Linked DNA regions of Callithrix jacchus. The protein of the gene in region 2 purifies or fractionates together with the protein of the main gene of each other region. This does not show direct contact. Links are inferred from orthologs where the notes say so. Each region holds a gene or a part of one and is shown on either strand. Other genes may lie near its edges. The genes, in order: VANGL2, SQSTM1, SOX2, CCNF, IRF3, LLGL1 and AIM2.

Evidence for each region.
Region 1: the proteins of SQSTM1 (region 2) and VANGL2 purify together in Homo sapiens (affinity purification with western blotting; 3 studies listed by BioGRID, with this or other methods). This does not show direct contact. The link is inferred for Callithrix jacchus from reciprocal best matches to the Homo sapiens genes SQSTM1 and VANGL2.
Region 3: the proteins of SQSTM1 (region 2) and SOX2 purify together in Homo sapiens (affinity purification with western blotting; 3 studies listed by BioGRID, with this or other methods). This does not show direct contact. The link is inferred for Callithrix jacchus from reciprocal best matches to the Homo sapiens genes SQSTM1 and SOX2.
Region 4: the proteins of SQSTM1 (region 2) and CCNF purify together in Homo sapiens (affinity purification with western blotting; 3 studies listed by BioGRID). This does not show direct contact. The link is inferred for Callithrix jacchus from reciprocal best matches to the Homo sapiens genes SQSTM1 and CCNF.
Region 5: the proteins of SQSTM1 (region 2) and IRF3 purify together in Homo sapiens (affinity purification with western blotting; 4 studies listed by BioGRID). This does not show direct contact. The link is inferred for Callithrix jacchus from reciprocal best matches to the Homo sapiens genes SQSTM1 and IRF3.
Region 6: the proteins of SQSTM1 (region 2) and LLGL1 purify together in Homo sapiens (affinity purification with mass spectrometry; 3 studies listed by BioGRID and IntAct, with this or other methods). This does not show direct contact. The link is inferred for Callithrix jacchus from reciprocal best matches to the Homo sapiens genes SQSTM1 and LLGL1.
Region 7: the proteins of SQSTM1 (region 2) and AIM2 purify together in Homo sapiens (affinity purification with western blotting; 3 studies listed by BioGRID and IntAct, with this or other methods). This does not show direct contact. The link is inferred for Callithrix jacchus from reciprocal best matches to the Homo sapiens genes SQSTM1 and AIM2.

Annotation. Positions count from the first base shown.
Region 1 is NC_133519.1:20,363,647-20,367,146, forward strand, and holds part of VANGL2 (vang-like protein 2), read left to right. Parts: intron 1-632; coding exon 633-769; intron 770-1,266; coding exon 1,267-1,402; intron 1,403-3,500. UniProt on the Homo sapiens protein: Involved in the control of early morphogenesis and patterning of both axial midline structures and the development of neural plate. Plays a role in the regulation of planar cell polarity, particularly in the orientation of stereociliary bundles in the cochlea.
Region 2 is NC_133503.1:71,820,503-71,824,667, forward strand, and holds the start of SQSTM1 (sequestosome-1), read right to left. Parts: upstream 2,801-4,165; 5' UTR 2,769-2,800; coding exon 2,564-2,768; exon of another isoform or gene 1,922-2,563; intron 750-1,921; coding exon 654-749; intron 1-653. UniProt on the Homo sapiens protein: Molecular adapter required for selective macroautophagy (aggrephagy) by acting as a bridge between polyubiquitinated proteins and autophagosomes.
Region 3 is NC_133516.1:9,953,814-9,957,753, forward strand, and holds SOX2 (transcription factor SOX-2), read left to right. Parts: upstream 1-1,140; 5' UTR 1,141-1,594; coding exon 1,595-2,554; 3' UTR 2,555-3,684; downstream 3,685-3,940. UniProt on the Homo sapiens protein: Transcription factor that forms a trimeric complex with OCT4 on DNA and controls the expression of a number of genes involved in embryonic development such as YES1, FGF4, UTF1 and ZFP206. Binds to the proximal enhancer region of NANOG.
Region 4 is NC_133513.1:4,368,402-4,371,901, forward strand, and holds part of CCNF (cyclin-F), read right to left. Parts: intron 2,981-3,500; coding exon 2,787-2,980; intron 2,043-2,786; coding exon 1,989-2,042; intron 688-1,988; coding exon 583-687; intron 277-582; coding exon 199-276; intron 1-198. UniProt on the Homo sapiens protein: Substrate recognition component of a SCF (SKP1-CUL1-F-box protein) E3 ubiquitin-protein ligase complex which mediates the ubiquitination and subsequent proteasomal degradation of target proteins.
Region 5 is NC_133523.1:43,428,673-43,432,673, forward strand, and holds the start of IRF3 (interferon regulatory factor 3), read right to left. Parts: upstream 2,801-4,001; 5' UTR 2,514-2,800; coding exon of another isoform or gene 2,507-2,513; 5' UTR 2,335-2,506; coding exon 2,241-2,334; intron 1,805-2,240; coding exon 1,632-1,804; intron 1,483-1,631; exon of another isoform or gene 1,401-1,482; intron 747-1,400; coding exon 575-746; intron 491-574; coding exon 420-490; intron 1-419. Other genes in the region: BCL2L12 (bcl-2-like protein 12), read left to right, coding at 3,618-3,724, 3,941-4,001.
Region 6 is NC_133506.1:82,670,684-82,674,183, forward strand, and holds part of LLGL1 (lethal(2) giant larvae protein homolog 1), read left to right. Parts: intron 1-1,805; coding exon 1,806-2,101; intron 2,102-2,609; coding exon 2,610-2,874; intron 2,875-3,037; coding exon 3,038-3,152; intron 3,153-3,323; coding exon 3,324-3,430; intron 3,431-3,500. UniProt on the Homo sapiens protein: Cortical cytoskeleton protein found in a complex involved in maintaining cell polarity and epithelial integrity. Involved in the regulation of mitotic spindle orientation, proliferation, differentiation and tissue organization of neuroepithelial cells.
Region 7 is NC_133519.1:19,049,005-19,052,504, reverse strand, and holds part of AIM2 (interferon-inducible protein AIM2), read left to right. Parts: intron 1-2,139; coding exon 2,140-2,559; intron 2,560-3,500. UniProt on the Homo sapiens protein: Sensor component of the AIM2 inflammasome, which mediates inflammasome activation in response to the presence of double-stranded DNA (dsDNA) in the cytosol, leading to subsequent pyroptosis.

The DNA.
Region 1 (3,500 bases), on a different chromosome or scaffold from region 2:
CGTTTGCTCCTTCATGGGCAGATTCACAGTGGTGGGGCAAGATCAGCTGGGAGTTAGGAGTTGGGAATGAGCAGGCATTTAGAGGTAGGGAATATTAGAGGGGGATGGACCAAAGGGAAGAGATATGGGGGGGGTCACAAACAGGGGCTTTTTGGAATCCCTTTTCTAGTCCTTTCCGGGAGGCACAGCTTCTTGTGAGCACTTAGAGAGTGGCCTGTGAAGTGACCTGGCCAGAGGAGGGAACCCCAGAGAAAGAGATAAGGAGAATTCTTCAGCTCCCAGTACACAAGCTACCCCTTGAGGCCGTGCAGAGTATCAGCGGCACGTCCTGGGTCCTGTAGAGAATCTTGGGGGAATGCTGGATGGGAATGAGGGGACCTATGGCTGGGGACCCAGACCCAATGCCCTTTCTCTGCTGGGCTTCGGCACAGCAGGGAGGGACTAGGAGGCCCAGTCCTGGGAAAGGCTTGGGAGCCTGGTAAGTAGACCTCAGGCCTGGAGCCAGCCTTCTTGGAAGCAACTTGTCCCTGTCCTGCGTCCTCTCCTGCCCCGCCAACCTGCCCTAATGTGTCCCTTCCCCTGTGCCCCTTGTCTGTCCCTTCTCCTGCCCCCTCCTGCCGTCTCCCCCACAGCATCCAGCGCGTGGCAGTGTGGATCCTGGAGAAGTATTACCATGACTTCCCTGTCTACAACCCTGCCCTCCTCAACCTGCCCAAGTCCGTCTTGGCCAAGAAAGTGTCTGGCTTCAAGGTGTATTCCCTCGGAGAGGGTGAGCAGCCCTGCTCCTCTGCCCTTCCCTGTCTCTTCCCAAGCAGGACTCCAAGTTACCACCTCTCTCTTTGTCCCTTGCTTTTTCCTTTCCTTAGCCTATGTTCCAGCCGCTTCTGTTCAGTCACTTCCCTTGACTCTAGGGGGCTGATCTCAGCTGCTCATCCTACTTGCTGTTGCTTTATGCTATGGCGTGTCCCCAATCTGGCTCCTCTGTGTCTCTCATCAGCCCTGGTCTGAGCCTTTCGGCTCTCGGAGCTGCAGAACCTCACGCACTGGGGAGGAACACCCGCAGGACTCCTGCGCTCCCAGTGCCTTCACTGTTGCTTTCCTGTGGCCTCTCCCAGAGGTGGCCAGGAGGGTTGGGACTGGGAGGTGTTGCTGGGTGGTGGGAACAGCTTCTTCTGGACATGCCAGGCTGCTGTCTCCAGAGCTCCTGGAGTGGGAAGAAAGGCCACACTCTGATGTGACCATCCCTTCTATCCTGTTCCTGTGCAGAAAACAGCACCAACAACTCCACTGGCCAGTCTCGGGCTGTGATCGCAGCGGCAGCTCGGAGGCGGGACAACAGTCACAATGAGTACTACTATGAGGAGGCGGAGCATGAGCGAAGGGTGCGCAAGAGGAGGGCCAGGTGGGTCCCAGGGGGAGAAGGTGAGGAGGAGAGGTGCTTGTGGGGTGAACTGGGAGAGGAAGACTATGGAACTTCTGTAGCTGCTGGAAATATAGAGCAACGATGACATGAGTGGGGGTGTGTATTTGTTTTCCATTGCTGCCCTAACAGATTAACACAAACTTAGCAGCTGTGAAATAGCACACATTTATTATCTCCCAGTTCCATGGGTCAGGTGCAGGCTGGCTGAGGCTGAAATCAAGAGGACTCTCATCTGAGCCTATGCTTTCTCTTTGAAGCTCATTATTGTGGGAGATATTCAGTTCCTTGTCACATGGCCCCATAGGCAGTTTACATGATGGCAGTGCACTTTTTTTCCCAGCAGAAACAGGTCTCTGACTTCTGCCACCAGCTGGAGATAACTCTGATTTTAAAGAGCTCAGGTTAGATCAGGCCCAACAGGACAGTCTTGTTGGGAGGCCACTGACTTGGCACATTAATTACATTTGCAAAACGTACTAAGATTGTTGTCTAATGAGGGATGGGAGTCTGGTAGGAGTGGGAGGTATCTTTGAATTCTGCCTACCATCATGGGGTAGGGACCCAACAAAGGGATGTGAGCTTTACCTGCAACAGCAGGGACTCAGGCTGGACTAGCCTTCCTGCCAGTAGATCTTGAGGGCACTCACCAGATGCTGCTTTTGTTGCCTTCAAAACATGAGGTTCTAGTGCCTACATGTTGGTAAATTCTTTTTTTTTTTTTTTTTTGAGACGGAGTTTCGCTCTTGTTACCCAGGCTGGAGTGCAATGGCGCGATCTCAGCTCACTGCAACCTCCGCCTCCTGGGTTCAGGCAATTTTCCTGCCTCAGCCTCCCGGGTAGCTGGGATTACAGGCACGTGCCACCATGCCCAGCTAATTTTTTGTATTTTTAGTAGAGACGGGGTTTCACCATATTGACCAGGATGGTCTCAATCTCTTGACCTCATGATCCACCCACCTCAGCTGGTAAATTCTTAAATGCCGTCCTCACTTCTTCCTTTCCCTGTTCATATTATCATGTGGCTGAGGTCAACCCTGAAGAATCTTACCTGATGCCGACTCTGCTGGGTCCCGTCTCGGTCTGTCAGGAGTTCCCTGAGGGAGGAGCAGAGTGCCTCGGGACTTGACCATGCCCCTGCCCTCTGCCCCATCTTCCACATAATCTCCAGGCTTCAAGGGCAAGAGGTAGCCCTTACCCTGTTCTCATAGGAGGCTGGCATCCCCTGTAGTAGAACAAGGATCACCAACTCCATTTCTGCAGCATTCCAGCCTATCTCTAGTTGTCTTGGAAATGGCCCTCACGGAAAGGAAACAAGCGATGCCCCTGCCCCTTTACCTTGTGCCCCGACCAGGGTCATTGAATCTTCTGTGCTGCCACCACCATTTTTGGCACATAGAGAACTCTTTCCCCATTCCCTTGCTTGTAACCAGGAGCAAACTTTCTCCTTTGGTTACCTGAGATAAAAGGATCTTTCCAAAAGGCACTTACTGAGAAATGTAGGGGAAGCAAGAGAATAAAGAAATGCCAGACATACACAGATCCACACCTGCGTCCCCGGAGTCCCGTTTGAAATGACTGACGTTCCCCGTCTCCTGGGTTCCTGCATATGAGGCTGCAGACCTCACTTTCTTCCTCCTGTCAGTTCAGGCTGCTCCTGCTCTTAGGCCAGGGGGGTTTCGGTTTGGTTTTTGGACTTGAAGTGCAGAGAATTGCATTAGTTGCTCTTTTCAGCTTCTAACATGTTGTCATTATAGGGTTCCTTGTGGTTCTTTATTCTGTTTCTCTTTTCCTCCCGTTTCTTCTTTCACTCCAGCCCCACATTTTAGGCATCCAGTTGAGTGTGTTTGATTTCCTTAAAACCTATATGTATCCTTGTGCAAAGTTAACGTTAGTGTAGTCATCTTTGTTGGTGTTGGTGTGTGTATCGGTATGCTTTTTGTTTATTTTGTTGAGATAGAGCCTCGCTCTGTTGCCCAGGCTGGAGTGCAGTGGCGCGATCTCAGCTCACTGCAACCTCCGCCTTCTGGGTTCAAGTGATTCTCCTGCCTCAACCTCTCCAGTAGCTGGGATTACAGAT
Region 2 (4,165 bases):
CTTAGGTGAGGACAGCAGAGCAACCAAGAACCTGCTAGGAGGTTCCCAGTCCCTGTGTCTGTTACCTGGGCAATGTGGCCCAGGCAGCAGAGCAGCAGCAAGGGACCCTGTCTGCACACCTTTGGCCTTGCTCTTCACCCACGCACCATAGCACCAGACCCCATCCCTAGGGGGACTCCTCTTTGGACTCCTCTTTCTCAGGTCAGACACAACATTTATTATGTCTCTCTTTTTTTTGACACAGAGTCTCACTTTGTCACCCAAGCTGGAGTGCAATGGTGCGATCTTGGCTCGCTGCAACCTCTGCCCCCAAGGTTTAAGTGATTCTCTTGTCTCTGTATCCTGAGTAGCTGGGATTACAGGTGTGCACCACCATGCCCAGCTAATTTTTCTATTTTTAGTAGAGACAAGGTTTCACCATGTTGGCCAGGCTGGTCTTAAACTCCTGACCTCAGGAGATCTGCCTGCCTCGGCCTCCTAAAGTGTTGGAATTACAGGCATGAGCAACCATGCCTGACCTATGTACCTGTTTTAAACAGTCTTCAAATTCCTGACCCTTTCTCCTTGGTGGAACATCAAGCCCGATTTTTTACTCAGCAGGGAGATGAGTACAAGCTAAGCTAGCTTCAGGCAGCCCCAGAGCAGCCCCTTACCTTTAATGTAGATTCGGAAGATGTCATCCTTCACATAGGACATGGCCATTGTCAATTCCTCATCACTGGAAAAGGCAACCAAGTCCCCGTCCTCATCTAGATTGTTTAAAAGACAGCACGTGAGCACCCAAGGGTTCTCAGCTAGACATAAGTTGTGGAATGGTCTGAGGCCAGTATGAAAGGGACGCTGACAGGGCTATACACTGGAGCACACCTACTTGGGCCACGGAGGCAGGAGCGAGAGGCAAGACTATCCCCTCGCTTTGGCACCTCCTGGAAGGTGAGTGCTCCAACCTGGGCCCTGGACCACAGCCACATTCAGGGGACAGAGGGCCCGTGCATAGGGACAGCAGAGGCTTCAGCTGCTGCACTTATTTAGCCTTGGGCCAGCTGGCCCTTCAGAAACATGCCACCTCATTCCACATCCGACCAGGCCCATGTCCATCTTCATAAATGGGAGATCCCTGCCTGTGACCTGCTCCTGAGGGGCGGCCCAGCCCCACAAAGGCCTTGGTGGCTTAGGAGTAAAGAAGACGAGTGCATCTGCCTGCTTCCTTCCCTAACAAAGCTAAAAATCAAGTATTTGTATGTAGTCTCCAGTTGTGACAGATACAGGTGAGCTCAAATGGCTTTAAAGCACCACTGTGCGGACCAAACCTCACCATCCACCATGGAAACAGGTGTGGCACCCAAAGATGCAAACAACCCAAATGTCTATCAGCTAATGAACAGGTAAACAAAACGTGGCCTGTCCATACAATATTATTCAGCCAAAAGAAAAAAAATGAAGTACTGATACGTGTCACAACATTGAACACATTACACTAAGTGAAAGGAACCACTTGCAAGACTACACTGTATGATTCCATTTACATGAAATTTCCAGGGTTGCAAGATGAATAGATACAGAAAGGAGGTTAGTGGTTTCTGGGGGCATTTGGATAGGGTGATGATAAAAGGTATGGCGTTTATAAGGTGATGAAAGGTTCTCAGATTGAATATGGTCCACAATCCAATGAAGATGGTGAAAACCACTGACTTGTACACAAAATGGGTGAACCCTTATGTCAGCTACAGCTCAACACAATTTTTTTTTTTTTTTTTAAGACTAGAAGGCCTGGCAGGCTGGCAGCACTCCAGAGGGAGGTCCCAGCACTGCCCCCTCCCAGGGGCCGGCCTTGGCCACCTCCCTCCCTCCTGGCCACAACCACCTCCCTAACCCCACCCCCAGCAGCCACCGGTCACACCAGCGCAGCAGGAAACAGCACCTGGGTGTCTGTGACCACACCAACACTTCTGAAGAATGTTCTCGTCTTGTCACTCTCTCCACTTGCCAGTGGGATAACATCTGTACTCCGCCTGGCCTGGAGCGTTCTGTTGGCAATCGGTGCCCTCCTCCCCGGCGCGGTCGCAGCGCTCACGAGGCGCCCGCACCACCGCGCTTGTTTACGCGCGTCACTCCCCCCGATCCGCTGGCGCTCCCCGGGGCATTATCTGAACCCACGACCTGGCGCAGCAAGATGTCACAGTAACCCGAGTGCCCGCCTGACCACCCCGTTCCCGCGGAGAGCCAGAGAGGACGCCCGGGCGCGTCCTTGCCCAAATTCGCAACACCTCGGAGGGGGAGGGGTGGCGTCTGACGCTCCCAGCCGAGCAGGGCCCGAGCCCCGGCCGGCAGGGTCCCACCGCCCCATGTCCCACAGGGCCGGCGCTGAGCAGCGGTGCCCGACTTTGGTCACCTCAAGGCCGAACTGGGGAACCCATGCAGGCCACCGCCACCCAGGGAGCAGCCAGAGCAGACGCCCTCACGGCCCGCCAAGTATCGCCGAGAATGGAGGGGGCAGCCACCCCTTTGCAGGAGGCCGGACCCGGCCTGCGTCACAGCCCCCGCCGCTCTCCGGCCAGCTCACCACGATAGTGCGCCTGGAAGCCGCCAGGCCGCAGTGCGGGGAACAGGGCTGCCACCCGGTTCAGCAGCCGATCGCAGGGCCCCAGACCAGCTGCGGCCTCGGCTTCTGCCTCAGGCTCGGAGCTGAAGCAGAAGCTGAAGCGGCGGATCTCGCGCGCCGCGTCCTCCTTGCCCAGAAGGTAGGCTTTCACCGTGAGCGACGCCATAACAGCCAGTCAGCTGGCGGAAAACCTGCTGTACCCGGCGCAACAGACGAGCGGCTTTTGTAGCGAACACGGAGGCCCCGCCCCGCCTCACGAGGGGCGGAGTCTGTCACGCCCGCCCGGCCCCCGCCGTCGCCGCCGCGGCGCGAGAGCCGCCCTGCCGAGGCCCTTTCACTACTGTCCCCTTCCCCGCTACCCCTCGCCCCGGGTCTCCTTAGCCCCCTCATTGCTGACCTCTCTCCTCACTGCCCGGGTGCACCAAGGACCCCAAGAGACCGGCCCTGGCACGCATCTAGGCCTGGGCTCCGGCCTCTGCACCTAGGATCAGGGGACTGGCGGGGGTCCCGCCCCTAGCCCCTCCCAGGCTTGGGCCGGGCAGTGACTCAGCAATATCCTCAGTTGGGGGTACCCAGTGCTGGGGGAGCGGGACACAGTCCCCATACCAGGGGGCTGCTAGGCCGCCCAGTAGGCATTGCTGACCAGAACAAGCAACTTGTTCCAACCCTGCCATGGTCAGCCTCCCCAGGTGGGGGTGGGGGGTGGGCGAGGATGTGAGTTGGGGGCAACATGCTTACAGACCATAGCATCCTGGGTGATGGGCCCCTAAGTAGGCTGAGGGACAGACACCTGACTCTAGCCTGAGCATCAGAGCAGCTCCCAGTTTAATAGGAGTGGAGTGGTCGCCAAGCATTCACTATGGCCCAAGAGACAACTCATGGACTTCTCAATTCAGCAGGCAGTGTCCATGGCCCTGCAAGGGCTCAGGCCCGCTGGCATTGTGGGGAACCAAGACGGTCATCCAACAGCCTCCTCAGCTAGGAAGGAAGAAACACCATTTTATGCCACCAGAGTGACCTGTCCATCAGTACTGGGCCAAGGAGAGGGGCAGGAGGGGTGATCACTCGATGGAGCCTCCCTGCTGGTCAGAATCTGCTGTGTCCAATTCATGCCATTTCAGGCCAGGGCTTGCAGGACCTGGAAAAACATTCAACATCCCAGGGTGGGTCAGTCAGATATGAAGGTGATGTGTGGGTGTATGCACAGCAGGGGCTGGTCGACAGGTGTGACTGATCCTTCCAGGAGGACTTCCAAGTGGGCAAGGCTGCCAGCCTGCCCAGAGCAGCCCTGTGGAAAGGGCTCAGGCCTCTGCCTGCATCCAGCAGGGGACAGTGGAAAGTGCCCTCTGGCCTGCTGGAGCCACTGCCTTGCAAACAGGGACAGGGGACAGAGAGAGGCATGCTGGCAGAGGCTATGGCCTGCAGACAGGTGCTGGCCAAGTATGACTCAGCAGCCCGGGCACCTGAGAGCCACGTGGCCCCACCAGGCCAGCTTTCCTGCCCCAGCCCCCAGCTAAGGCCCGGTCTGAATGGGGTGGGGGACACAAGGAAAGTCCTCCCGCT
Region 3 (3,940 bases), on a different chromosome or scaffold from region 2:
GAAACCCACGAGGGAAATGCCAGGGCTGGTTCTGCTGGCGCCCAGGGAACCCTGCGTGGGAGGGAGTTTGTGACTGGGGCCCAAATGCCACCTCCGCACAGTGCCGTGGGATGCCAGGAAGTTGAAGTTACCCTCCCCCATCCTGCACTTTGGAGCGCCCTTCCGTTTGTCTCTCTCTCTTTCCCCAGCCCCCATTTGAAACCCGCACGACTGAAACCCCTCTTTGGGGGAGGCCTGGGGTGGGAATGGGGAACGGGGGGGAGAGCGTAGGAGCATCCCCTTTGCTCCGGTTGACTGGAGACAGGCCAGTGGGAGTTGGGGCTGGGAGTAAGAAGGCGAGCTGCGGTTTCCTGGGCCAGAGCTGAGTGGGACAGAGAGATGGCAGCTTCCCAAGGCCTGCGGGTTCCCAGCTCTGGAGTCGGCCTCGTGGTCCGACCAGGATTGATGTTTAAGAACAGAGCACGTTAGGTGGAAGCAAGGAAGGCTTTGAGGACCGAGGTTCGAGTCTCCTAACTTCTAGTGGAGACCCTGTCTGAAGGGCGTGCGGGAACGCCGGCACCTGCGGGGGAAGAGGGGAGAGGAAGCGCGCGGCGTGGGAGCCGCAGAGGGGCAGGAGCTGGGGGCACTGCGCGAATGGGCGGCGGGACAATGACACACCCAGCCTTGCACTGGCGGTTTCCAGAAACACGAGCTGGACCGTCGCCCCGAGCCACCCACTGAGCCCTGCCCCACCCCCGCACCTTAGCTGCCCCCCGCGTCCCATCCTCACTTCAGCACCCTGCACCAAAAAGTAAATCAGTGTTAAGTTTAAAAAAGAAAAAACCCACGTAGTCTTGGTGCTGTTTACCCACTTCCTTCGAAAAGGCGTGTGGCGTGACCTGTTGCTGCGAGGGGGATACAAAGGTTTCTCAGTGGCTGGCAGGCCGGCCCGGAGCCGCCTCCCTCCCCGCCGCCCCTCCCATCCCCTCCCCTCCCCCTCTCCCCTCCCCCGCCCCCGCCCCCGCCCCCGCGCCGGCGGCCCGCGAGGCCCCGCCCCCTTTCATGCAAAACCCGGCGGCGAGGCCGGGCCCGAGTGGAGGAGCCGCCGCGCGCTGATTGGTCGCGGGAAACCCATTTATTCCCTGACAGCCCCCGTCACATGGACGGTTGTCTATTAACTTGTTCAAAAAAGTATCAGGAGTTGTCAAGGCAGAGAAGAGAGTGTTTGCAAAAGGGGGAAAGTAGTTTGCTGCCTCTTTAAGACGGGGACGGAGAGAAAGAAGAGGAGAAAGAAAGGAGAGAAGTTTGAGCCCCGGGCTTAAGCCTTTCCAAAAAATAACCATAACAATCCTCGGCGGCGGCGGCTCCGGCCGGAGGAGGAGGGAACGCGCGGTTTTTTTTTTTTTTTTTTTTGATCCTGATTCCAGCCTCTGCCTCTCTCGCTTTTTTGCCCCCAAATTGTTCCTCGCCTGATTCTCCTTGCGGAGTCCCGCGCTCCCGGCACCCCCGCCCGCCTCCCCTCCTCCGCCCCCCCGCCCGCGGGCCCCCCAAAGTCCCGGCCGGGCCGAGGAGGGTCGGCGGCCGCCGGCGGGCCGGGCCCGCGCACAGCGCCCGCATGTACAACATGATGGAGACGGAGCTGAAGCCGCCGGGCCCGCAGCAGACTTCGGGGGGCGGCGGCGGCAACCCCACCGCGGCGGCGGCGGCGGCGGGTGGCAACCAGAAGAACAGCCCCGACCGCGTCAAGCGGCCCATGAACGCCTTCATGGTGTGGTCCCGCGGGCAGCGGCGCAAGATGGCCCAGGAGAACCCCAAGATGCACAACTCGGAGATCAGCAAGCGCCTGGGCGCCGAGTGGAAGCTGCTGTCCGAGACGGAGAAGCGGCCGTTCATCGACGAGGCCAAGCGGCTGCGCGCGCTGCACATGAAGGAGCACCCGGATTACAAGTACCGGCCCCGGCGGAAAACCAAGACGCTCATGAAGAAGGATAAGTACACGCTGCCCGGCGGGCTGCTGGCGCCCGGCGGCAACGGCATGGCCGGCGGGGTCGGGGTGGGCGCCGGCCTGGGCGCGGGCGTGAACCAGCGCATGGACAGCTACGCGCACATGAACGGCTGGAGCAACGGCAGCTACAGCATGATGCAGGAGCAGCTGGGCTACCCGCAGCACCCGGGCCTCAACGCGCACGGCGCGGCGCAGATGCAGCCCATGCACCGCTACGACGTGAGCGCGCTGCAGTACAACTCCATGACCAGCTCGCAGACCTACATGAACGGCTCGCCCACCTACAGCATGTCCTACTCGCAGCAGGGCACGCCCGGCATGGCGCTGGGCTCCATGGGCTCGGTGGTCAAGTCGGAGGCGAGCTCCAGCCCGCCGGTGGTGACCTCTTCCTCGCACTCCAGGGCGCCCTGCCAGGCCGGGGACCTCCGGGACATGATCAGCATGTACCTCCCCGGCGCGGAGGTGCCGGAGCCCGCCGCGCCCAGCAGACTGCACATGTCCCAGCACTACCAGAGCGGCCCGGTGCCCGGCACGGCCATCAACGGCACACTGCCGCTCTCGCACATGTGAGGGCCGGACCGCGAACTGGACGGGGGAGGCATTCTCCGACAAGAGCGAGGGGAATCAGTGGGGGAGGGGTGCAGAGAGGAGAGTCGGAAACTGCGTGGAGAAAGCCCGGTATGCTCGAAAAGAAAAAGGAAAAAAAAGAAGAGTCTCATCACCCACAGCAAATGACAGCTGCGAAAGAGAACACCGATCCCATCCACACTCACTCAAAAACCGCGATGCCGACAAGAAAACTTTTATGAGAGAGATCCTGGACTTCTTTTTGGGGACTTATTTTTGTACAGAGAAAACCAGGGGGGAGGGGTGGGGAGGGCGGGGGAATGGACCTTGTATAGATCTGGAGGAAAGAAAGCTACGAAAAACTTTTAAAAAGTTCTAGTGGTACGGGAGGAGCTTTGCAGGAAGTTTGCAAAAGTCTTTACCAATAATATTTAGAGCTAGTCTCCAAGCGACGAAAAAAATGTTTTAATATTTGCAAGCAACTTTTGTACAGTATTTATCGAGATAAACATGGCAATCAAAATGTCCATTGTTTATAAGCTGAGAATTTGCCAATATTTTTCAAGGAGAGGCTTCTTGTTGAATTTTGATTCTGCAGCTGAAATTTAGGACAGTTGCAAACGTGGAGAGAAGAAAACTATTAAAATTTGGACATTTGAATTAAAAATTGTACAAAAGGAAAAAAATTAGAATAAGTACTGGCAAACCATCTCTGTGGTCTTGTTTAAAAGGGCAAAAGTTTTAGATTGTACTAAATTTTATAACTTACTATTAAAAGCAAAAATGGCCATGCAGGTTGACATCGTTGGTAATTTATAATAGCTTTTGTTCAATCCCAACTTTCCATTTTGTTCAGATAAAAAAGAAACATGAAATTACTGTGTTTGAAATATTTTCTTATGGTTTGTAATATTTCTGTAAATTTATTGTGATATTTTAAGGTTTTCCCCCTTTATTTTCCGTAGCTGTATTTTAAAAAGATTCGGCTCTGTATTATTTGAATCAGTCTGCCGAGAATCCATGTATATATTTGAACTAATACCATCCTTATAACAGGTACATTTTCAACTTAAGTTTTTACTCCATTATGCACAGTTTGAGATAAATAAATTTTTGAAATATGGACACTGAAATTATTCTTGAGTCTTTCATTTATTTGGTTAACACTGTGATTATACATAACTTCTCGGGGAATTATCTTACTGTGCTCAGCCGACAAAGCAAAAGACCAAAAATCCTCGGTATTACTAGTCCAGCTTCGTGTGCTAATGTTAACTGCGAAAAGGAAACGGCTGGATGAATAATAAGTACTGGAAAAATTGAAAATTTTGTCATTTCTAAAATAGAAACTAGAGACATATATTGTAAATCCGCCCCCTCCTTTTCTAA
Region 4 (3,500 bases), on a different chromosome or scaffold from region 2:
CCCCTGACCTCAGGTGATCTACCCTCCTCGGCCTCCCAAACTGCTGGGATTACAGGCTGAGCCACTGTGCCCGGCCTCCTGAAGCCATCTTATGGTTTCCCTGAATCCCAGCCTCCCATGCGGGAGCCCAGATAGTCCTGCCCCAAGGCTGGAGGGAGAAGAGCTGGCTCCCCATGTCGTCGCAGCCCCGGACGTCACCTGCGCTTCCCAGCAGCCCTTGGCAGCGTAGTCCCTGAGTTTTCGGAAGCTGTGGAGACTTCGCCCAGGATCTGACATCTGTCAATGGGAGAAGATCATCGAGCCTTTACACCGCTGTGTCTCGGGAGGGACGGGTACCAAGACACAGAAGGGCCGACGCTAAGCTAACTTCCCACCTCTGCTCTCTCAAATGGCGGGAGTCATTTTGGGGGTTTGCCAAGAATAGCCAAGAATAGCCGACTGTCCAGTGGCTCCTGGAGGCTGAGAGGCTGGGAGCAGCAAGAGCCACCTCCCTTTTGCAGACAGAACCGCATCCAAGGACCAGCATCAACTGTGCCTTTGTCCAGCGTTAACTCCGCCCCACCCAGAGCAGGCTCCACTCACATCTGTCCTCCTGTCGCTTTCCCAGAGGAGGTATGCGCTGCTCAGACATCCCTGACGAGCAGCCTCTTCAAACAGGTCCCGAGCCTGCTGCTGCTTTTCTTCATCCTAGAATAAATCCCAGCAGAGTTCATTCTTCTCTTATTCTTTTCTTTTTTTTTTTTTTTGATACAGTTTTGCTCTTGTGGCACAAGTTGGAGTGCAACGGCCTGATCTTGGATCACTGCAACCTCCGCCTCCCATGTTCAAGCAATTCTCCTGCCTCAGCCTCCTGAGTAGCTGGGATTATAGGCGCCTGCTACCACACCCTGCTAATTTTTGCATTTTTAGTAGAGACAGGGTTTCACCAGGTTGGCCAGGCTGGTCTCAAACTCCTGGCTTCAGGTGGCCACCCACCTTAGCCTCCCAAAGGGCTCGGATTACAGGAATGAGCCACTGCGCCTGGCTATTTTTGTTGCTGTTGAAACAGAGTATCCCTTTTGTCACCCAGGATGAAATGCAGTGGCGCAATCTCGGCTCATTACAACTTCCACTTCCTGGGTTCAAGCAACTCTCATGCCTCAGTCTCCTGAGTAGCTGGAATTACAGGTACCCACCACCATGCCTGGCTAATTTTTGTGTTTTTTTTTAATAGAGATGTGGTTTCACCACATTGGCCAGGCTGGTCTCGAACTCCTGACCTCAGGTGATGCACGCACCTTAGCCTCCCAAAGTGTTGGGATTACAGGCGGGAGCCGCTGCACCCGGCCTCCATACTCGTAAGTTGTAACACACGTTGCCCCGAGCTTTACTAACATGAGTTACTGAAATCAGAGCAGAAATGGCTTCTCTACAGACACCATTCCACACCCAGCGAGGAGCATGAACTCAGAGCTCCAGCCACAGAGGCCCTGCTCTCTTCCTAGAAGGGTTTACATTTGGGCTGGGCCTGCAGGCTCCCTGGTTCGGCTCTGCACCACCAAAGGCCTGCCCTTCTCACCGCTGCCAAAGGAACTGCCCTGAACCACCACAACAGTGGTGGTGGCTCTCGGGGCTTCTCCTCAGTGTCCTTCTCGGATGCATTTGCCATGCCTGTCACTAGAAGCCACCACGTTCCTGCGATTTGCCGCAAAGGGGCTTTACGGATCACGAAGCCCATTAGGACATCGAGAGCAGAGAGGTCCACATGAGCAGAGGGGAGGCCCAGCTCCTGCGATTTCCTCTGCAGTTCTCATCGCCCCCACTCATCCGCCAGCTGGGGCACAGAGCCAGGACCACAGCCTGCTGCCGGCCCAAGTGTGCCACCTGCCTTCCCCAGCTGGGCCTTCCTGGGCAAGGCTTGCCTTTGGTTTTGGGCCTTGGACGCCCCCTGCTGCCGCTTTTCACTGCCAGTCAAACACAGTCCAAGTGTGGAGAACAATGTGACTCACCTCGAACAGACTCAGCACTCTGCCCAAGCAGTGCAGTATGGATGCTTTGTGAGTCTTAAAAAAAAGGAGAAAGAAGTGTGATTTCCAGCAGAGAGAACTGACAGGGGCCGTCCCTCCCCAGTTTGTGTGTCTTTGGGTCCCATGCCCATGGCCCTGCTGCCTGGCCCTCCCTCCCCTGCAGAGGGCCACTCCAAGATTTGAGTCTTGTTTTTTTTTTTCTTTTAGTGGAAACAGGGTCTCGCTCTGTCACCCAGGCTGGAGTACAGTGGTGTAGTCACAGCTCATAGCAACCTCAACCTCCCAGGCTCAAGCAATCCCCCCACCTCTGCCTCCTAAGTAGCTGGGACAACAGGTATGCACCACCACCCTGGCTAACATTTTTGTATTTTTTTTTGTAGAGACGAGGTTTCATCATGTTACCCAGGGTGGTCTTGAACTCCTGGCCACAAGCAATTTTCCAGCCTTGGCCTCCCAAAGTGTTAGATAACAGGCATGAGCCACCACACCCGGCCGGATTTGTGTCTTGGGCTCCAACTGCTGCATACAGCCTCAGCCCCATGTTTCCAGCCGTCAGCAGGTGTGCCCAGAACTCTACAGCCCACCCTGGCTCTCAGGCTTTCTCCTCTCCTGCCAGGTAATTTCAAGATGCTTTCCCTACATATGCACTCTGTTTTCTGCATCTTCACTTCTCTTAGGCACCTGACTTTCCAGGGTCCAGAGCCTACCCTCGGGGTGTTCCTGGGACCCTGCAGGTGGCCTCACAGGTGCTGCTGCTGCTCGCGCCTCGCCCAGACTCACCCTCTGCAGTTGGGACTCTGCCCTGAGGCTCTCGTGAACCACGGCCTTGCAGCAGCTTCCACTCACCGACCACGGAGGGCGGATGAACAGCCAGATGAAGGGCACGGCACCAGCGTTCAGCCGCTCCGTGAGACTGAAGAAGTGAGAGGCCTTCAGGCCATTCACTTCCGCACGGGCCTCATCAGACACAGACACTGCGGGGACAGACAGCACAGGACCCAGGGATGTCTCTTGGGCGCAGAATGTGGAAAGTTCTGCATGGTCTTGGTGGACAGCGTAAAGCCTAAAGCCCACCATAGTGCAGTGTAGCTGGTGTTTCAGGAGGGAAGAGCCCTCCAGGATGGGGGTACCTGCCTCTTCTCCCCCTACTTGGTTAATGTCTAGAACAGAGGGGTCATTGTGATCAAGGCCCCTGCTACACTCCTCCCAGAAGCCTGGATTCTGAAGGTAAGGGGGAGGAGACCCTGCCACGCTTCAGGTCCCATCCTCCCTCCAGCTGGGAACCGCTTCCTGACTCCCTGGTAATGGGTCCAGGGCACGGGTGGGGGCTCTTTTTGGGAAAAGGAGAACATTCTAAAATTAGACAGTGGCAATGGCTGCACGACCCCGTAAGAACCACAGAGTTGCGCACTTTAGATGGGTGAACTATACTGTGTGTGAATTTTATGTCTGGGAACTGCTCTCTGATGGGAGGGTGGAGAGAGGACCTCAGCT
Region 5 (4,001 bases), on a different chromosome or scaffold from region 2:
TGAATGCCACATGCTACCATTCCAACCCCAGGATCTGGCTTTCTGCAGGCAAGGCCTGGGCAGAATTTCAGAGGGGATGCTCCCCTGGCTCTGACAGCGGCAGGATCAAGGGGAGGGAGGGAGGTTTTCAGTTCCCAAGAGGCTGACAGACAGCCGTCCCCCCACTCCCCCCCTCCCCCCGCCAATCAAGGATCTACAGGAAATCCCGGGAAGGCGTGTCAAATGCAAATTGAGTGCCTTCAATGCCAAGTGAAGACTGAATTTTCTCCTGAGGAGACTGGAGCATGGGACAGACAGGGCCAGCACTGGCTCAGGTGAGGGGCAGACGAGGTGAGGGAGGCGCACTGGTCCACAGGGAGAGGATGAGTCCATGGGAACAGGACAGACAGTGGGGGCGTGAAGGTTGGGCACATTCTTACCTGGGTATCAAAAGTACTGCCTCCGCCACTGGTGTCTGGAGATGTGTCTGGCTGGGCAAAGTTCCCAACTGCTGTTGAGAAAGGTGTTGAAGTGGCTAGGGGTGCCAGGAACCCTTGGGACCCCAGCCTCCCACACTGACCCCGATCTGGCAGACCTGAGTTCACAAACTCGTAGATCTTATGTGGGTCGTGAGGGTCCTTGCTTCGGTCATCTGCTAAACGCAATCCATCTTTGCGGTTGAGGGCAGAACGGAAATTCCTCTTCCAGGTTGGCGGGTCTGGCTTATCTCTCCCGGGAACGTATGCACCAGTGGCCTCAGCCCAGGCCTGGGGCAACAGTGGTGTGAGGATAGTGAGAGAGGACGACCTAGATCCTGTCCCGGAGCCCCAACCCTGTCTCCGGCATCCTAACACCACCCTCTTTCCCTGGCAAGTTGTAACTCTGCAAGGTCCATCCCCAAATCCCCCCATCCCACCTACCTCCATCCCCACCTCTAGTTTTCTAGAATGATCTGCCTGCCTCAGCCTCCCAACGTGCTGGGATTACAGGCGTGAGTTACCGCGCCCCGCCTCTTCAAAAGCCTTTGAAACCTCTTTTGTTTTTAACGAGACGGGGCCTGTGTTGCCCAGGCTGGTCTCAAACTCCGGGGCTCAAGCGATCCTCTAGCCTCGGCCTTGCCAAAGTACTGGGATTCTATGTGAACCACCGCGCCCCCCAAAAACCTTTTCTTTCTAAGCCAGGCTTTCAAGTCCTACTAACCCCGTGCACCACCTGCCTCAGGACACCCTCGGTGATAACCTCGTCCCTCACACTGTTTACCACGTCTGGCTTATACTAATTCGGTGGTTAGGAACCCCAGATTTGGGGCTCCAAGTCTCACCTCTGATGTTTCAAGAACAATCCCCCAGGATCCTACTACTAGGAACCCCGGCCCCTAGAGAGCTCCAAACCCATAGGATGCATTTTCATTGCGTACTAACCCGGCTCTCCCAGTTCTAGTTCTATTCCCGGAACCGGCAACTCCGACCCTCCCGGCGCCCCCATCAGTCAGCTGATCCGGCTAGCCCCGCCCCTCCCGTTCTGGCCCCACCCACCAGCGTTGACACGAGCCCGCCCCTCGCGCGCTACCGCCGCCTTCTCAACCCTGCCTCTCGGAGTCTTTCCCGCCCAGCGCGCAGCTCCTGGTTTCCAGCGTCCCTGGTCGCACGCACCTGGAAGATTCCGAAATCCTCCTGCTGTGCATCATGCCGTAGACCGTGTTTCCAAGGGATGCGGAAGCGCGTGCGGCTCTCATTCACCCAGGCCACACCCTCCAGCTGCCCCAGATTCAGCTGCAACTCCAGCCAGGGCAGGATCCGTGGCTTTGGGGTTCCCATGGTCCGGCCTGCGCGTACAGGGCATTTCCTGGGCGCGGCCGGCCTCTCCTGGACCCACCTGGCCTGGAGTTTCCGCGCCCAGAACTCCCTGTCATGGGCTACGGCACAGGTCCTTCACCCATGTTTTCGGGGGTACAAACAGGAAACCTCCTCTTCCCATCCTCCCATCCGCCAGAGAGGCTCCCTAATCAGCTAGGGTTCCTTCCCCTATCCATGGCACACCCTTCCCCAGCGACTTCAGTACAGACCCTCCACTCCCTCAATTCTGCCAGTGTAGACCCCCTCTTTCCCCATATCGAAAGCAAGTAACCCCACTTTCAGGGTAACATCTCTTTCCCTAGCTATGTCAGTGCAGAATCGATTCACTTGTAAGCCTCTACCGCCTGCACTTAGCCCAGTGTAGACCCCCTTCCACAGTCCCCCTAGAGAAGATCCCCTACCTACTTCCAACGCAGAACCTCCATCCACAATGCTCCCTCGACTGCCAGCCTCCCTCCTCCAGAGCACGCCTCAGCTTTCGAGAGCGAACTGCCCGCATCTGCGGAGTCCACCCCTCCCTCTCTAGATCTCCCTCAGTGTAGACGCCTCCTCTTTCTCTTCCCTCCCTACTTTTTCTAGTTTTTCTGCAACAGACCTCCAGCGCCGGCCACTCCCTCCTTTCTCCACTTTCCCCAGATTATACAGCCTGCCTTTCCACTTTCCGTACAGACCCATCATCTTTCCCGCTCCTCGTTCTCGAACGCCACCAACGCTCTCCCGGGCTCTTCCGCGTTACCTACGATGGAAGGTCGGGGCGTGCGGGGAGCTGGAGCCCACCCGTCTTGGGGCTCCGGGTAGCTCTCAAACTCGAGGCTGAACACCCGCTTTCCCGTCAGCTGAGTTCTAGAGCGCTGGGACTTTCTTTTCCAACGACTTCTTGAAATAAAAACAACTTTATCATTCTTTGAGTGACAGAACCCAGAGCCGAAGGGACAGGCCGTAGGGCCCGGGCTGTCCCCGCCCCCATGCCCTTTTTCGGCTTTCCGGCCAGAGGCATGCTGGGAGCGTCAAATGCAAATTGAGCGTGCAGCCAGCGTTCCGCCTTTTCTACGTTGGGCCGGTTACCCACCCGGCCCAGTGCGCAGGGGCGGGAAAGTTGACCTAGAAAGTTTTGTACGAGTTGAGTGAAGAAGGCGGCAAGTTGAGTGGAGGTGGCGGCGGTGGGGCCCCGGACCAGGTCAGCGGAGTGTTGCCGAGGGTCGGGGTGTGGAGGGAAGAGGAGGCGGCCGGGATGCAGGAGTGAGAACCCAGTCCCGCTTCTCCGACATCCAAGTGTATATTCCAGGAGCAGGAGATTTGGAAATACACCTCCCAGCAGGCTGTGCGGCGAAGAAGCGGGGACCGAGGAGAAGATTTGCCGTAAAGCCTGCTGGGATTGGTAGTTCCCGATGCTTTAAGAGTTTGAGTAGTTCGGCATATACCTCTTTCAGAATCCAGGAGTTGGGGCGCTAAGCCCCTTCTCCCTGGGAGACATAAGGGTCAGGGGCTCCAGTTCCTTTCTCTCTAAGACTCAGGAATCTAGGACCCTAGCTCCCTCCTCCTTTAGGTCCACGAATCTGGGCACCCACCCCCTAGCTTTCCTTGGATTAATGAGTCTGTCCTGTTCCCTCTTCTGTCTGAGGACTCAAGAGTCTAAGCGCCCAGACCCACACTCTCCAAAGGACCCAGGAGTCCGGGCCCTCATCACCTTCCTTGGGACTCACAACTCCCGGTCCTCAAGCCTCCACTTCTCGATAAATCCTTGGAGTTCAGTCCCTAGCCCCCTCTCTCATAGGTGCCTCCATGGCAGGCTCAGAAGAGCTGGGTCTCCGGGAAGACACGCTGAGGGTCCTAGCTGCCTTCCTCAGGCGTGGTGAGACTGCCGGGTCTCCTGTTGCAACTTCACCCAGGTAACAGGAGTTGTGCTTCTCCCCGAGGGGCCAGGATTTGAGGCCCCCTCCTAACTCTTGCTCCTGGTCTCAGTCTCTCTCCTCTCTTTATATCTGACTCTATTCTCTGTCTTTGGGGTTTTGGAGAGAGGTCCTCAGTGGGGGAGGGAGTGAGTTGAGAAAAGTGACTTACAGAGGATCTCTGGTGGGGTCACTCTCTGAAGTCCTCCTCCCCAGAAGCCCTGCCCCAGAAGAGCCAACAGACTTCCTGAGCCGCCTTCGAAGATGTCTTCCCTGC
Region 6 (3,500 bases), on a different chromosome or scaffold from region 2:
GCTACTTGGGAGGTTGAGGCAGGAGAATTGCTTGAACTGGGAGGTGGAGGTTGCAGTGAGCCGAGATCACTCCACAGCACTCCAACCTGGATGACAGAGCGAGACCATCTCAGAAAAAAAACCGTTACCATCCAGCTCCCCCAGGGGAGTGCAGTGGATTTTCCCACTGTCTGGATGTGGCAGATGGACCTGGAGGTGGGGGTTCTTTGGCTTTTTGTTTTTTTTCTGACTACAAAGACCCAGAAGAGGACAGCCTCGGGCTTTTAACTTGTTCCACTTGTTGCCTGGTCACCCACAGACCTCCTGGGGGAGATGGATGGTAAGGGGTTGTTGTGAGCTGGGTGAGCCTCTCAGATCTAAGCCAGGAGAAGGGAGGTTGAGGCCTGGAGTATGACAGTGAGGGGCACTGGCCCTTGTCCAGGCCCTGAGGCGGGGATATGTGTGGGTGCTGCCCAGCCACTTGGCTGGAATGGAGCCGGTGGGGGTCGAGGAGTGTGGCTCAGGGAGGTGCTGGTACTAACCAGAGCTGAGGACCTGGCTTGGACTCTTGGTGGCCTGGGAACTCTTGACTAGGTCCTGGATGTGCTGAGTCATTGACTTTGTACAATGGGAGAATTTCAAACATACACAAAAATAGAGTGGTGCAAAGTTATCCCACATACCTTGCCTGCCTGCCACCAGTTATGTGCCTCTACAGAAGCCGTCCCCCTCCCCCATACTCTTTACTGTTTATCTTGCTGGGGTATTTTAAACGAAAACCCAGACACGAGTACTTCAGCATGGGCCTGACAGATGTCACTGACAGCCACTGTTCACATCATGCCCTGTAGAACCAACGTGAATTCCTGAGTGTCATCTGCTTGGTCGAGCTCTGCTTTCTGATGTCATTTATTTGTCGAGGGTCTTTGTGCAGTGGATTTTCCCACTGTCTGGATGTGGTGGATGGAGCTGGAGGTGGGGGTTTCTTTGGCTTTTGTTGTTTCTGACCACAAAGACCCAGAAGAGGACAGCCTGGGGTTTTTAACTTGTTCCACCATCCCAAGGAGGGTCATGTTCGTGGCCGCCTGGGGCTCCTGTTGTGCATGTTTACTTACTGCCCCAGGATTCATCAGGTCATCAGGGTGCAGGTGGGTGAGCTTCCAAGTCTGCCCTGGCTTCTGCGGGGCTTGGCTCTGATTCTCCACTAAAGCTCATCCCCCAGAGGTTCAGTTCACACAGGCAGAGTAGGGTCGGTGGATGGGCGTCCTAGGTGTCCCCAGGCTCGGTGGCTCTGGCTGCCATGTAGGGAACACACTGAAGGCGGGGTGAAGCAGGGGTGAGACAAGACGCACGTGTGGGGTGCATGAGGGCCTGGTTCCAGTCTGTTGACAGGACTAGCAAGGGGATGCAGGGCTGGAGAGAGGAGTCGGGCTTGTAGGGCTTGGGGGTGAGTGATGCTAGGATGGAGCTGCATTTACTGATGTGGGGGTTGAAGCTAGTGGGATGGAGCTAGAGGGTTCAGGGTCTGGTTTGGGTGCCCATTGGCATCCTGTGCAGATGCGCTCTAGCTGTTGGGGCCTCTGCAGGAGGGCTGCATCCTGGCCTCTGACTGCAGTTAGCAGCCTAGAGCTGGGATCTCAGGCCTCAAAGCTGGAGGTCATCAGGGAGGCATGGGACAGGAAGGAACCAGCCCTGAGTCCCAGGGTGTCACAGTTAGGAAGGAGAGGTACAAGAGAGGCCGGGAAGTGCCTGCAGTCTGTGAGGAGACTACAGGGGAGATGCCTGGCCCGCAGGGAGCACCCTCCTCACGAGCTCGTTTTCTGCAGGGGCCCACCATGGGCCTACCATGTGGGCTGGCACCAACTCGGGCTCTGTGTTCGCCTATGCGCTAGAGGTGCCGGCAGCAGCAGTGGGTGGTGAAAAGCGGCCTGAGCAAGCAGTGGAGGCCGTGCTGGGCAAGGAAGTGCAGCTGATGCACCGGGCGCCTGTGGTGGCCATCGCCGTGTTGGATGGGCGTGGCCGCCCACTGCCCGAGCCCTATGAGGCCTCACGGGACCTGGCGCAGGCACCTGACATGCAGGGTGGTCATGCTGTGCTCATCGCATCTGAGGAGCAGTTCAAGGTGAGCCACTGTGGGCTGTGGGGGACTCCTCTCCAGGACCCTACCATTGGATCCTCTAGAGCCCCTGCTTGCCTGTATCCCCCACTGCTGGGACCCTAAGACCCTTGCACCCCAGCAAAACACCCCTAGTCAGCAGAAAATTTCTCCCAAAGAACTCTGATGCCCCCTCAGCCTGCTGAGTTCCTCTAAGACTGTCCTATCTCACTGTCCCCTGCAAGGCTCCTGTACTCTGCCAAGAACCCTGAGCCCAGTCCCCAGGGATGCTGCCTTGAAAGAACTCTAGGCACTCTGTGATTGAGGGCCTGGGAGGTTTCTGGAGTACAACGTGAAGTCTGGAGTTTAGTGGGGCAGTGCCAGCAGGGCCAGCCAGGTGTACAGGCAGGGGAGGCCACGTGGCAATGAGGCTGGGCTTTGTGGTGGGGGCTGGTGGGTCTGCAGCCATGAGGGTGAGGGGCCCTGGAGATGAGGACAGGGCCAGGCTCTGTGCTCACTGGCCACCTGCTGTCAGGTTTTCACACTGCCCAAGGTGAGCGCCAAGACCAAGTTCAAGCTCACGGCCCATGAGGGCTGTCGTGTGCGCAAGGTGGCATTGGCCACGTTTGCCAGTGTGGCCTGCGAGGACTATGCTGAGACCTGCCTGGCCTGCCTCACCAACCTGGGCGATGTCCACGTCTTCTCGGTGCCTGGCCTGAGACCGCAGGTGCATTACTCCTGCATCCGGAAGGAGGACATCAGCGGCATCGCCTCGTGTATCTTCACGCGCCACGGCCAGGGTGAGGTGGGGCTGAGGCCAAAGAGGCCTTCCTTAGGCAAGCAAGCTGAGCAGGGCCAGTGCTGCTTGGGAAGGGCCTTCCAGGTGGGCACAGGCCCTGCCCACGGAGGAGCTGTGGTTGGTGGCATCTCCTAACTGCAGTCCTCATTCTTCTGTCCACCCAGGCTTTTACCTGATATCCCCATCAGAATTTGAACGCTTCTCCCTAAGTGCCCGGAACATCACAGAACCGCTCTGCTCTCTGGACATTAACTGGCCCCATGATGCCACCCAGGCCAGGTGTGTGGATGGAGGCAGCCCCTGGTCTGGGGGACCTGTGACCAGGGCGAGTTCTCATCCCACCCCCAAGATCTGCCTTCCCTGGGCTTGGGAGTGGGAGTGCAGAGATCTAATGTGCCAGCCTCAAGGCACCCACCTATGGTCCCCACATGCCTATCTCTGCATTTACAGACTCCGAGAGTCAACCAAGCTGAGCCAGGCTAACGGGACCCCAAGCATCCTGCTGGCCCCACAGAGCCTTGGTGGAAGCCCTGATCTAGCCCACAGCAAGGGATCTGGTGAGGAGGGGCATGAAATGGGTCCAGGCCCTGGCCCCACGGTGCCCTAAGGGAGGGAGTCAGGACTCTC
Region 7 (3,500 bases), on a different chromosome or scaffold from region 2:
TCACTTCTCACACGGTTCTCTGTTCTTTATCTCACAGCATGCAAATAAGGGAAGCAAGGCCACAGTATGAAAAGTGATCTGAGTCACAAAAAGAGGAACTACCTCTGATTTATCAGATTAAACACCTGTTGAGCTTCTAATCCCTTCCAGGCCCTGGACACATTAACACTTGGTTATGGTTTGAATTCTACAAGAAGAAAACTCTGAGACAGACAGTTGTTTACAGGAAGTCTATTCTAGATCACTTTCAGAATTAGTATCTGTGAGGAAGCGAAAGGAGTAGAAGAAGAAGAAGGTCAAGAACAATGTATTTGCAGTAGAGGCCTTGGCCTATCTGACACGGAGCTCGGGAGCTGAGAATGCCTTTCATGGCTCCCATGATCTGGGGGAGTCTGTGGTTTGCACAGGCCCAGGTCCCCAGTCACATCAGAGATTCAATTCAGAGACTCTTACACTCTGCCTGCCATGCCTCTGTTTCCCCTGTATTTCCCCTTGGTTTTTGACAACAAATTGCTTTTTAAAAGTAATGTAAAAAAGTCCTCTATATAGCTGCATGGACAAGGTGAGGCAGCCCCATTTAGGTGAGAGAGTTTGCCTAGAGACTCTTGTTCTTAGTGAGAATGAGGGAACAGCAGGCAACATCCGAGTCCCAGCACAGAACCGACCACACATGCAATTTCATTTCCTATGAAGCAGGTGTTACTTCATTTTATAGCTGTATGAGCTACAGAAACGATATACTTCATCTCTTTGTCTAGAGTAGCCATTTCCTCTGCGTTTGGCCCAGAAACATCTTGATTTTTCAGGAAAACAAGTATAAATGTGTGATTCCATCATCAGTCATGAAAATATGCATTGTTTAGTCTGGAAGACCCAACTAAAGAGACATGAACCAAACAGAAGGGCTTTTACAGTGGACCTCAGTGAAGCTGACCTTTCCCTGCCTTGGTCCAAATGCAGTCAGTCGTACTGCCCATTAGGGACCCTTACTCCCCCAAACTCCATTGGCCCAAGCTTCAGGTCACATCAGAGACACCCTTCAGAAACCCCTACACTTGGCTTTTTATGCCTCTGTTTGTTTTCCCCTGTATTTCTCTCTGGTTCTAGATGGCAAGTTACTTTTAAAGAGTAGTATTTTCCCCCCAAACAAGGTATTTTACCTCTGTTAATTCAGACAAATAAAGAAACACAAAGAAAATAAAATTACCTATAATTGTATCATCTAGGAAAAAACTGTATTGATGTTGGTAAATGTCTCTCCGGTGTGTTTGTTTATGTGCTTTAACTGCTTACTTATCCTTTCTCTTTTCAGGACCTTTCCCTTTATTGAATCAGTTATAAGTTTATCATATTATTTCTCTAAAGCATTTTTAATATTTGCATAGCAATCTATTTGTGACTATACCGTATCTTATTTAACCAAATCTAGTTTTTAGGTACTTAAATTATTTCTTTTTTTTATGATTTCAAATAATAAGATGTATTTTTTAAATGTGAACCTTAGTTTATAATTCATTATTTCTAAGGGCAAATCCATACATGTAGTATTGATTCTCCTTTTAAATCTCCTTTAACTCACTGATAAGATCTCTGGCCTAGGTCTCCCCCTTAACTTATATTAAATATAATCTGCATTTTGTTACGTACAGCGCCTTCCTGGGAATTTGGGGAGCCCTGTGCAGGTCACTGAGCTCCCTCACTTTTATACTAGAGTAAAATGAACGTTTTGGACAGAGAAACAAGGACGCATTATGCCCTAATGGAATCGATGGAAGATGGAATCCAATTTATCAGATTTACCCCATGCCTCAGCAATATTTCAGAGATCTGATGAGCTCTTTATACATAGCAATTGGCAAAGCAAGAATTTTGTTTCAGGAAATCCTACCTCCAAAACCTGTTACGCCGTCTTAGCCGAACACAGGAGCTGAAATCTTCCGTCCGCATTCTCTGTTGTATCCAGGTCGTTCTAGGCCTCAGATCTCTTCCCGACCCCCTCTATAACGCTCCCCTTGATTCTACCTATCTTCAGCTGGCTTCCTGAGGTTTAGCACTGTGAGTGAAGTAAGGTCCTCTCAATAGACTCACAGCTGATATCTTTTAGACTCACAGCTGATATCTTTCTTCTCTTGTCTTCAGCCTGAGCAGAAACAGATGGTGGCCCAGCAGCCCTCTATCAGAGAAGGGTTTCAGAAAGACCCTTTGCCGGTTATGGTACTGAAAGCAATGAAGCCCTTCATGTTTGAGACCCAAGAAGGCAAGCAAGAGATGTTTCATGCTACAGTGGCTACCGAGAAGGAATTCTTCTTTGTAAAAGTTTTTAATACACTGCTAAGAGATAAATTCATTCCAAAGACAATAATTATCATATCAAGGTATTATCGGCACAGCGGTTTCTTAGAAGTAACTAGTGCCTCACGTGTGTTAGATGCTGAATCTGACCAAAAGGTTAATGTCCCTCCGAACATTATCAGAAAAGCTGGGGAAACCCCGAAGATCAGCACACTTCAAACTCAGCCCCTTGGAACAATTGTGAATGGGTTGTTTGTAGTCCGGAAGGTACGTCTTCATATCTAATTTCATATTGATTAGTAATAATATTTTTCATCTGATCTTAAAGCGACTTTAGAAATGGTTTTAATATCTTTCTATATAGACAAAAAAATACAAAGTTCTAAAGAGCTGCAGAGTTAACATGCCAAAATTCATACAAAAACGCAAAAATTGTTTTTATTGTCAAAAATCTGTCACAATCCTGTTTCAACTTATTCTTATCCCAGTAGCCTCTGAAAAAAAGAACTAGTTCATTCACATAATTTTTATCTCTGTGTTATTTATTTATTTAAAAGAGACGGGGTTTCACCATGTTGTTCAGGCTGGTCTTGAACTCCTGACCTCAGGTGATCCACCCGCCTCAGCCTCCCAATCTGTGTTATTTTTATACTTTGTACATATCATCTTTAAGTGACTGTTTTTGAATGTGATATAAGTGTAGTTGTAAACCAGATCAATTGACCTGAAAAACCAGTATGTAAGGCAGGATTAAAGAACTGTGATTAAATGAAGAAAACAGAAGAAAGAGTTAGCTATGGGCCAGTCGCGGTGGCTCACGCCTATAATCCCAGCACTTTGGGAGGCCGAGGCGGGTGGATCATGAGGTCGAGAGATCGAGACCATCCTGGTCAACATGGTGAAACTCCTTCTCTACTAAAAATACAAAAAATTAGCTGGGCATGGTGCTGCGCGCCTGTAATCCCAGCTACTCAGAAGGCTGAGGCAGGAGAATTGCCTGAACCCAGGAGGCGGAGATTGTGGTGAGCTGAGATCGTGCTATTGCACTCCAGCCTGGGTAACAAGAGTAAAACTCTGTCTCAAAAAAAAAAAAAAAAAAAAAAAGAGTTAGCTTGAGGAGACTTATTATAAGTGAGAAATTTAAAGTATTATGACTCTGAGCCTCAGGGAAATAGCCTTGTGGGATGACTTTTTCTGATCTAGGACAG